Oryctolagus cuniculus: one gene and its partners. The protein of the gene in region 1 interacts with the protein of each later gene in a pairwise test. Links are inferred from orthologs where the notes say so. Each region holds a gene or a part of one and is shown on either strand. Other genes may lie near its edges.

The links. The genes of interacting proteins can lie anywhere in the genome.
Region 2: the proteins of ZBTB43 (region 1) and MORF4L2 interact in binary tests that used the Homo sapiens proteins (3 or more experiments, as listed by UniProt). The two-hybrid records come from large-scale screens. The link is inferred for Oryctolagus cuniculus from reciprocal best matches to the Homo sapiens genes ZBTB43 and MORF4L2.
Region 3: the proteins of ZBTB43 (region 1) and SYT6 interact in binary tests that used the Homo sapiens proteins (3 or more experiments, as listed by UniProt). The two-hybrid records come from large-scale screens. The link is inferred for Oryctolagus cuniculus from reciprocal best matches to the Homo sapiens genes ZBTB43 and SYT6.

What each region holds. Positions count from the first base shown.
Region 1 is NC_091432.1:230,445,589-230,449,661, reverse strand, and holds the start of ZBTB43 (zinc finger and BTB domain-containing protein 43), read right to left. Parts: upstream 2,809-4,073; 5' UTR 2,669-2,808; intron 1,930-2,668; exon of another isoform or gene 1,602-1,929; intron 700-1,601; exon of another isoform or gene 388-699; intron 230-387; exon of another isoform or gene 1-229. UniProt on the Homo sapiens protein: May be involved in transcriptional regulation.
Region 2 is NC_091453.1:89,784,648-89,788,003, forward strand, and holds the end of MORF4L2 (mortality factor 4-like protein 2), read left to right. Parts: 5' UTR 1-64; intron 65-1,283; 5' UTR 1,284-1,307; coding exon 1,308-2,174; 3' UTR 2,175-2,853; downstream 2,854-3,356. UniProt on the Homo sapiens protein: Component of the NuA4 histone acetyltransferase complex which is involved in transcriptional activation of select genes principally by acetylation of nucleosomal histone H4 and H2A.
Region 3 is NC_091438.1:56,227,838-56,231,355, forward strand, and holds part of SYT6 (synaptotagmin-6), read left to right. Parts: intron 1-317; coding exon 318-876; intron 877-3,518.

The DNA of each region.
Region 1 (4,073 bases):
GGTCTGCTCAGGCACTCAGCGCCCTCCGCCGGCAGTCAGCTTTCCCCTTACATTTCAGCAGAGCCAAGAAGTTCTCGGCTGCGCCCCGTGTGCAGGACGCGGGATAAGAAGCCCAAAACAAGGCCCAAAACAAGGCCCCGGGAGGCCGCAGGTAAGGACTCAAGTAACTGGGTCCTGCACCCACGTGGGAGACCCACACTGAATCCCCTGCTCCTGGTCTCAGGTGGCCCTGGCCCAGCCCCAGCTACTGTGGGAATTTGAGTGAACCAGGGGATGGGTGCCCTCGCTCTCTGTCTCTCAAAAATAAAAAAATAAAAGAAAATAAGATAGAACATACTGAACTGACATAAAGACATACACTTTAAAATTTCTGAAATCAGGACGCACTTGCCGAATAGCAGTGTTAATAGTTGTCACTGCCTGGCTGGCGCCGCGGCTCACTAGGCTAATCCTCCACCTGCGGCGCCGGCACCCCGGGTTCTAGTCCCGGTTGAGGTGCCGGATTCTGTCCCGGTTGCCCCTCTTCCAGGCCAGCTCTCTGCTGTGGCCTGGGAGTGCAGTGGAGGATGGCCCAAGTGCTTGGGCCCTGCACCTGCATGGGAGACCAGGAGAAGCGCTGGCCGCAGCGGCCACTTGGGAGGTGAACCAACAGAAGGAAGACCTTTCTCTCTGTCTCTCTCTCTCACTGTCTAACTCTGCCTGTCAAAAAAAAGAGTTGTCACCGCCTGACAAGGAAAAGGCACTCCTGTGAGAGTTGCGAATGTTTTCAGTGGCACAAAGGAAGAAGCTGTGTGGAAGAACCACGACACACTCGGAACTGAAAGCGCTCCGAAGAGGAGCACCGGAATGTGGGAAAGCTTCAGGAACACTTCAGCCATTTACTTTTTACCCCTTTCACATGTGAGTTGATTTGCAATATGCATTGATTTTTAAATGCCCATGTACACCTAAAAGTGTTTTCGATAAGAATGGAAGTCCAAACGACAAGAAAGCATTATGCCCCAGCTTAACTGGCGGTGTCCCTCCTGGTGACACGGAACTCTACACAGCACTGACACTCACAGCAAGAGCGCCTGACCAGCTATCCTGGGGCAAGCGACAGCCAGAAAGACTCCAAACAGAGACAAAGCAGCTGCCCCTCCGACCCTGTGCGCCGTACCAGGAGGGCTGTCTGTCTAACCTTGTCTTCATGTGAAAGTAAAATCGTTCTCGGATTTCCTGCTTAGGAAGCAGATTCCTCCCTGGTCCCACGGCAGGTGGAGTGGGAGAGCCGGGGCAGGAATCTGCTGTGTAAGTAGGAAACTCGAGCACAATTTAACCAAATTAACTCAACCACACTCCTCTCCCGAGGCCCTCGGCTGTACCCCCGGCTGTGGAGAACACCGAGAGAGAGAGAGAGAGAGAGAGAGAGAGAGAGAGAGAGAGAGAGAGAGAGAGAGAGAGAGAGACGCTCCCCCGACAGCTACGGGACAGGTTCCCTTCAAGTCCCACTTGAGCACCACACGCGGCTTCACCCTCCCGAAACGTCCAATTCCGGGGCGCCTCCGCCACCGCCACCCACTTCCAGAACTTTGCCATCACCACAAAAACCCTGTCCGCACTCAGCGCAGGCTCCTCCCCAGAGGCTCCGGGACCCTCCAGGCACTCCACGCCGGGGTCTCCACCCGCGCCGGCCCGCGCGCGTCCGGCTGGCATCTCATCCCCTGTGCGGCGGCGAAGGGCCCCTCATCGCGGGGGGTCTCGAGCACCCCGACACCCGCAGCTCCGCCGGGGAGCCCCCCAGGAGAAGACTCCGCCTGGAGACGGGCCTGGGTCAGCGGGCAAGAGCCGTGCAGCCCTGAAAACGCACAGGCCAGAAGAGGCAAGGGTCCCCCGGGCTGCTCCGGCCCCGGCGACACCTGTCAGATCTCAGACCAGCCGGCGGCCGAGTCACCGAGAGTGTCACCCGCGCGGGGCGCCCCACGGGGTCATGAGTCACCTTCTGTGGCTCAGAGGTCCGGGCAGGCCCGCCCCGCCCTGCCCAGACAGTCCCGGCTGGGAGGGACAGACACAGAATCGGCCGAGAGATAGAAGCGGACAGCTACAAAAGTCCTGCCGGATCAGAGACACAGAGGCAAAGGGGAGGCCACAAGTAAACTCGGGGTCTCGGGCAGAAAGAGCAAACTGACGGAAGCCGCGGCGCGACGCAGGTGACAACAGGTGACACAGACAGCCACCGAGGTGCGGCACCGAGGGGAGGAGGACACCGGCCGAGACCAGCCGAGACCGGCCGCAGCCTGCTTCCCGGTCTCGGCTCTGCGGGCCCGGGGCGCGCCGGTGGCGCCAAGCCGCGCCCACCCCGCGCCCCGAAAAGCCGGCGGACGGACGGGGGCGGGATCTCCAAGCGCTCCGGCCCGCCGAGCCCCGCTGCCGCGGGGTGACCTTGGACCGGAGGCTGCCCCGGGGCCCCAGGTGTCGCGGTCTGTGCGCCAGAAGGGCTGGAGACCGCGGGGGTCGGACCGGAGCGTGGGGATCCCGAACGCCCGCCAGCGGCTTTAGCATCCCGCTCGACCGAACGGGCCCGGGGGCACCCGCAACGCGCGCGCCCCGGCCTGCGAGGAGCCCTCAGCCCCCTCCCCGGCTTTCCTTCCCCGCATCCTCGCGCCCAGTTGTCCCGACGCCGCCGTACCTGCCAAGGGCTCCGCGCTCACATCCCAGACCCAAAGGAGCTCCCGCCGCCGCCGGCGCCAGGCCTGTTCAAGCGGTCGCAGCCGCAACAGCCTCAGCCTGCGCCTCCCGCCCCCGGAAACGCTTCCCGGTCCCGCCCCCGAAACTGCCAGTACTTCCGGGAGTGCGGCCGCGAGAGAACTCTAATGCGCATGCGGGACGCACGTTCATGGGCGGGGCGTAGGAGAGAGGGCTCCGAGACAGCCGGCGCCTGCGCAGTGGTGTCGGGAGCCGGTCCGTCAAGTTTGAGGTTCGCTGACAGGCATTGGAGAGCCGATAGTTGACCTGGCAGAGACGATGTCAAAATCCGTGTCTGCTTCAGCAACGCCCATCCCGCTGTTTGACACATAGTGGACGCTTAGAAGGGGTCCGTGACAGCCAGTGCCCTCTGGGTGGCCGCATTGGCTGGGCGCCAGGGTCAGAGATGGGGGCACCAGAGAACCTGCACTGCCTCCGGCTCTCCCGTCCGCCGCGACCCTGCCCCCCTCTCTTCCTGCCTTTCCTTCCGCGACCTTCGGAGCTGCTTGGAGACCAGGGAGCTCACTTGAACGCGCACCAACCCGAAATCCAGGCAGCTGCAGGGGTCCGGCCAGAGGGGCCCTGGGCGTAGGGTGGATGCCCCTCCCCGGCCAGGCTCGCCCGGGAGGACCGTGTGTGTCTTAGCGCCGAGTGCGGGGTTTCCCACCTGGTCCGCTTGCTTCTTGAGTGTTCCAAGAGGAGACTGGGACTATCCCGGAGAGTTCTATCAGGAACTTCGGGGAGACGAAGCCGCAGAAGTGGGGGTGGGCACAGAACCGCTGCCGAAGATTCTGCTCGCAGGGTCTACGCTCCATCCTTCCCCTCAGCCCAGCTGGAGCACACACCACTTCCTCCAACAAAGCCCCACAGACAGGGCGTGCTAGTGTCTTTCCTCCCTCTTGGACTCCCTAAAAACAAAAACAAACAAAACCACTCCACTCGTTTCTGTTCAGATCCCAGCAGCGGTCCCTTGATCTCAGGGGAGCTGGACTTGGCAAGTCTCAGAACTGACCCAAGACGTCTGATCTAACCTCACTCTTCGAAATTGGGCTTGTGACCAACATCTTGCCAATAAACGTAGAAGTCATTGAGTGGGAATGCTGGGAAAAAAGTTTTTGCAAAATCCACTAAGACTTCTAGTTGGGAATACTCCTAAAGGGCTTTGCCACTTTGTCTTCTTTCTGCCTCTAAGCGGGTCTGAAGTGTGGACGTTCAGCTGCTGTCCTGTGGCTAGGAAGTGACCGGCAAAACAAGCAGACGGAGAGAGCCTGGCGGCCGGGACGTTAGGCCGCAGGCTCCATCTTTGGACTGCTTACCCCCAGGGATTTTCTTGAGTACAACAAATCAAC
Region 2 (3,356 bases), on another chromosome or scaffold:
TCAGAAGATCTGTAAAATCTGGGAACTCACTAGGCATTCTTGGAAAGGAAAGAAGGAAGATTGTGTAAGTGAAAAGAATTGTTTGACCTCTCATACCATAGGATTATTTTTGCATCCTTTCTAGCCCTCCCTTACTGTCGATTATTCCTGTCACTTCTTGAAATTCTCAACTTGGGCTTCCAAATTAAGTCTCCTAATTTTCCTATGACTGCTCTGGCCATTTGTTTCATTTGGCCTTTCTCTCTGCTCACCCCTTATATATCGCTTCCTCAGGTTTCCCAGATTTTATTCTGGTCTCCCTCATAGTGTCCATTGCCAGCTATATGATGATTACTCTCAGATTTCACTTCTAGTTCTGACTTCTCTCACCTAAGCTTTAAAATGCTATGTTGAAATGCACACCGCACATGCAAGAAGGCTGATACTGAACAACAATTTCTTCTCCTGCAGATGCAGTATTATTTTGTGATAATACTAATGACCTAATCACTTCTCAAAACCTGGGAGTCCTCACTGACTCCTCCCTCACCAACTTTCTACGCTCCCCCTCCCAACTAGTGATAACTGGAGATTTTGTTACATGCCATGTCTTGTCTGCTACCAAAGTATTCTGTGCCTATAAACCATCATGTACTAACCTTGTTTTATAATTGTCACTTTAGATGTTTGAATCCCTAACACCTACCATAGTGCCTATTTGGAAGCAAAAATACAGCAATAGAAGATGACAAACCAAATAGATGGATGGTTTACCTCCATTCTTTCATTTTTATTGCTGATTCCAAAGTAACACTTAAGTCTACTTTTGTTAACTCATTAGCTCCCCACATTTGACATTTCAGAGCCCCTTTGACTCCTGGTCTCCTTCAGCGTGTTGCTCAGTTTCTCTTTACTGTCATTGCCCTATTTCCGACCTACCTGGACCAAGACAAGAACCTTTCCAGTTGCTTGTTTTACTGTTGTTCATTTTGCCTCTCTTTGGCTAAATTGATGTTCCTGATTTCTTTTACATTGTCATTCCTTCTGTTCTTCTGTTCCAAAGTCTTGCATTTCAACTCCACTGCCTTTTATCATTTCTTTGTCATTTTAGTTCCTTCTTTAAAATTGCACACCTATACTTTTAGTGACATAAAAAAAAACTAGAGCAGTCTGAGGAATGCCTGGGTGGGATGACAGTAGTGGGTAGTAGGAGTTAGCATATGTTGTGGCCTAATGGGCCTTTATGAACCATAGTTAAAGATCACTGTAGAAAACAAACATGTAAAATACTTTATGTATTACAGTGGTTGGAATAAAAACAGGGTTGAATGAGTTCCAGAAAGCAGGGTTCTCAAACTCGTGGACAACAATCTGCGGAAGAAGACAACTTCAAAAAGCCAACTAGAGGCAACATGCAGAGAAGTAAGATGAGAGGCGCCTCCTCAGGAAAGAAGACAGCTGGCCAACAGCCGAAGAATGTTGAACAAGCTCTCCCAGGAAGATGGGGGGGTCGCTCGGCTGAGAACCCCCCTTCAGGATCTGTGAGGAAGACAAGGAAGAACAAGCAGAAGACTCCTGGGAATGGAGATGGCGGCAGTACCAGCGAAGCACCCCAGCCCCCTCGGAAGAAGAGGGCCCGGGCCGATCCCACTGTCGAAAGTGAGGATGCATTCAAGAATAGGATGGAAGTGAAGGTCAAGATCCCTGAAGAATTAAAACCATGGCTTGTTGAGGACTGGGACTTAGTAACCAGGCAGAAACAGCTCTTTCAACTCCCTGCCAAGAAGAATGTAGATGCTATTCTGGAAGAGTATGCCAATTGCAAGAAGTCACAGGGAAACATCGACAACAAAGAATATGCCGTCAATGAAGTTGTGGGAGGTATAAAAGAGTATTTCAATGTGATGTTGGGCACTCAGCTGCTCTATAAGTTTGAGAGGCCCCAGTATGCTGAAATCCTGTTGGCTCACCCTGATGCGCCGATGTCCCAGGTTTATGGAGCACCACACCTACTGAGATTATTTGTGAGAATTGGAGCAATGTTGGCTTATACGCCCCTTGATGAAAAGAGCCTTGCTCTATTGTTGGGCTATTTGCATGATTTCCTAAAATATCTGGCAAAGAATTCTGCTTCTCTGTTTACTGCCAGTGATTATAAAGTGGCTTCTGCTGAGTACCACCGCAAAGCCCTGTGAGGGTCTACTGACCACTCACCATTAATGTCTGGTATCTGTAAAACACTTTTTTTTTGTTCTTAGTCTTTTTCTTGTATAATTGATGTTCTTTAAAATTGTTAATGTATAACAGGGCTTATGTTTCAATTTGTTTTCTGTTCTATATTAAACAGAAAATAAAAGGAGTGCAAACTCCTTTTCTCATTTCAGAGTTGCTACCAGTGTATGCAGTAATTAGAAAAAGAAGAAAAATTCAGTAGAACATTTTATTGCATAGTTGACAACATTGCTTGAACGCTGGTGGTTCCATCCCTTTGACACTACACAATTTTCTAATCTGTGTTAATGCTATGTGATAAAAAAAAAAATGCCCTGATTCCTAGTGCCAAAGGTTCAACTTAATGTATATACCCGAAAACCCATGCATTTGTGCTCTTTTTTTTTTTTTATGGTGCTTGAAGTAAAAACCGCCCATCCTCTGCAAATCCATCTATGTTGTTCCTTAGGCATCCTATCTTTGCTCAAATTGTTGAAGGATGGTGATTTGTTTCATGGTTTTTGTATTTGAGTCTAATGCACGTTCTAACATGATAGAGGCAATGCATTATTGTGTAGCCACGGTTTTCTGGAGAAGTTGATATTTTAGGAATTGTATTTCAGATCTCAAATAAAAATTGTTTCTAAGTTTCAAAGCAAGAAATATGTGCTGTGCCTTTAATGTCACCAAAGCTGACAGACTCACCTTGCTCAGGAAAGATCTTGGTGGTATCACAGATCTGTGACTCCTAGATCGTTGACCAAGACTTCCCTGATTCCCCAACAGATGTCAAGTTCCTTCTCTTTAATCCTAGCATAGGGAATCCATGGAGATGTTCCATGGTATTGGATAGCTGTACTTGTAGGTTCATCTAAACATGAGAATTTCCTAGTCAAACCACATATTTTTCATGACTTTTTCAGATCAACTAGAAAAGTAACCATAACTATTGTAAAAATTTTAGAAAATACATTAAGAACAAATATGGAAATAAGAATCACATAAAATCCTATCAATTCAAGTCCCAGCCCCCTCCAAAAAAAAAAAAGACTCAGAATGGGTGGTTTGAAGAGTTTATTAATAAAGGATTTTTCCCCAAATTACCAATATAAGGACACAAATCATTAGGTACAGGCCCACCCCAGTGAGCTCGTTTTTAACTTAGC
Region 3 (3,518 bases), on another chromosome or scaffold:
GAGAGCCCATGGAGGGTGAGGAAGGGTGGCCCATCTCCCAAGGGAGTGCATGGTTCAGAGAAGGGAACAGAGTGCCGTCTGCGAGGAGAGAACCCTGGGAAGCAGATATCAGAGAAGCAGGGAGAGTGATTGCGATAGCAATGGCCAACATTTGCTGAGCTTAATATAGACCTGGCGCCGCTCCAGCTGCTTGTGCACCAAGTGTGTGCAGAGGACACGTGGGGTCAGCAAGAGGGAGAGGGTGCTCCACGTGGGGCAGAGGGAGCCAGGTCCGCCCTGACCACACACGCGCTCTTTGCCCCTCCTGTCGCCGCCAGGCACACGTCTTTCAAGCGCCACCTGCCGCGGCAGATGCACGTCTCCAGCGTGGACTACGGCAGTGAGCTGCCGCCGGCGGCCGAGCAGCCCACCAGCATCGGCCGCATCAAGCCCGAGCTCTACAAGCAGAAGTCGGTGGACGGGGACGAGGCCAAGTCCGGGGCAGCCAAGAGCTGCGGGAAGATCAACTTCAGCCTCCGCTACGACTACGAGAGTGAGACCCTGATCGTGCGCATCCTGAAGGCCTTTGACCTCCCTGCCAAGGACTTCTGCGGAAGCTCTGACCCTTACGTCAAGATCTACCTCCTGCCTGACCGCAAATGCAAGCTGCAGACCCGGGTGCACCGCAAGACCCTGAACCCCACCTTCGACGAGAACTTCCACTTCCCCGTGCCCTACGAGGAGCTGGCCGACCGCAAGCTGCATCTCAGCGTCTTTGACTTTGACCGCTTCTCCCGCCACGACATGATCGGGGAGGTCATCCTGGACAACCTCTTTGAAGCCTCCGACCTGTCCCGGGAGACCTCCATCTGGAGGGACATCCAGTACGCCACGAGTGTGAGTACAGCGCTGCTCAATGGGCTGCTCTAGGATGAGCAGCTCTGGGCCGGGCGGGACACGTCCCCTACCCCCCTCACCGCCTCCAGACACAGGGTGTGAAACTGTCCATGGCCCGCCCACCCTGGGGCGGTCCTTGCTCTCTCCCCAGGTTGGGGTGGGAGCCAGTAGCACCCTCGGAGGCAGGGGAAGGGAAGGAATTTTTGTCTGTTGCTTCTCATCGCACCTTCCAGGGTGGGTCTCTCTACCTGCGGGACCCAAGGTTTGGCAACTCTAAAACATGTGCTATGTCCCCTATGATCATGGGTGACTGCTGGGCCAGGCCACAGACTGAGTGTCTGCTGAGTGTATTGGTATGTATTAGAAGCTTGGGATAAGCAGCAAGAGTGGGCTGTGTTAATCAGACTGTACTTCAGCAAGAAGCAATCTCAGGATTTTGTGGCTTCAGATAACCAAGGTCTGTTTCTCATTCACGTCACACGTTCTTTGCAGCGTAGCTGGGGGCTCAGCTTGACCTTGTTGCCCAGGGACCCGAGCCCACGGAGGCTCCAGCTCAGCTTGAGCTCCCGTAGTTAAACCTCAGGAGGAAGACGATGTGCAAATCATGCAGTATTTCTCAAAGCTTCCATGCACAAGTTCCATGTGTCACTTCCACTCACATTCCATTAGCCAGAGCAAAACACACGGCAACTCCTACTCTCAGAGAGGCAGAGGCAAAACACTCCTACCACACGCCCAGAAGGCAGAACTGCAGAACTGAATGAACGCACTAAGGACCACACACCGCTGAGTCCCTTGTCTTAGCACCGTATTCCCAGTGCTGTCTGGGTGTTGGGGGGGGGGGGGCGGGGGCGGGGGCGGGGCAGGCAGCCTGCAAGGAGACCTGGCTAATGCCCACACCAGAGGCAGATACTGGGCCATTCGCAGCCAGCTGGAGCTAACCGAGGCTTCAAGGTGCTGAGATTCACGTTGACTCACAAGGGAGGGCAGCTTTGGCACAGAGAACTAGAGGGGCACACCCGGAGCCCCCTGGGCTGGTGTGGACAGGGTACTCCATTCCACTGGCCTGAGGAGCTGTGTGGTGCATCCTGCAGGTGCAGCTGCTGTACCTCTCTCTGACCCGGGCGCTGAGAGCCCAGCAAGGGTGTTCCCACCAAGCACGTGGCCTCTCATCTGGTGTCCTGAGTGCTAACTGGCTGAGTGTCTCCCTGGATATTTTTATTTTAAGATTTATTTGAAAGTCAAGCAGCAGGAGGGGCTGAGGGTGGGGAGGGGTGGAGATCTGTCCACTGGTTCACTCTCCAAATGGCTGCAACAGTCAGGGCTGGTGAGCCAGGCTGGATCCAGGAGCCTGGAACTCCATTGGGGTCTCCCATATGAGTAACAGGGCCCCAAACACTTGGGCCATCTTCTGCTGCCTTCCCAGGCACATTAGCAGGGAGCTGGATCAGAAGTAGAGCAGCCAGTGCGGAAACAGCTCTCCAGTATGTGATGCTGGCATTGCAAGCGGCTTCACCCAGTGCACCACAACGCCAGCCCCTCTTTGCATATTTCTTGCACCATTATCTCTGAGGAGGGAGGATCCCAATCTGCCTGAGGCTCCTCCCTTCGGGCAGCTGATACTCAGTACGTCTGTGCAGAATGTCAGGAGAGAGGTTGGGAAACCCAGCCGCGCCGTGGTGGGTAGAGCGTACGCGCCTCGATTTCTTCAAGGAGAAACCTCGGCGGGCTCTGCTTCCAGGCAGTGTCTCCAGGACCCCATTCTCTGATGCTGACTTTGGCAAGTCCAGGCTGATGTCCCAGGGCCTCCTCACCTTTGCTTTCCTGAGATGCCACCCCCCGCCGCCCAGAACGGCGCAGGCAGCCAGGTGGCAGCCAGACGGGGCGGGCTGGAGCGGCAGCTGTGCACCAGCCCAGGCCCAGGAGCTGTGCCTATAAATCACGATCTGAAGCGCGCATCTGGTGCGGCTCTTCCCTGTGGTCTCCTAAGGCAGCAGCTTCATGGCGGGGACTGTGCAGGTGGAGAGAGGCAGCTCCATCCTCCTTACAGCGAGGCCACCGCCCCCGGGAGAGGATGAGGACGCAGGGCTGTGGGGGCAGAGCTCTGCCCGCCCCAGAGGCCCCCTCCCTCCCCTGTACCTTCGGCCCCAGCAGGAGTGCGAGCCTCAGGTGTGCAGGAACCTCTCCCCCAGATGGAGCTGCCCTGATCCTAGGGCTCTGTAGCTGTCCCTGACCTCGTCCCCAGACTGTCCCCATGTTCACTTCCTCAGGCAGTGCCACCAGAGTCCGCCTCCACCTCCTGCTCTTAAGGACGCCATGCCGGGCACTGGGGGTGAGGGCGGGACTGGGCTGGCAGAGAGGGGGACCATCCAGCAGGCCAGCGATGCCGGCCAAGTGCTCCTGCACACTGTGTGCACCAACACTGCCTGGGAAGGCCTGGACCAGGGCAGCTAACCCAGGTAGGGCAGGACTGGAACCGGGAACTTCCCAGGCCAAGAGGGAGGGAACCCCCCCCCCAATAGGAGCCCAGAAGCCCAGGCCTGGTGGTTCCCAGCTGCAGGGCTGGGGTGGCACCCGCACCCCTTGTCTTGCGTGCAGCCTGTCTGAGCTCTGTGTGCGGCCTCAGGTGAGTGCCCTGGGCC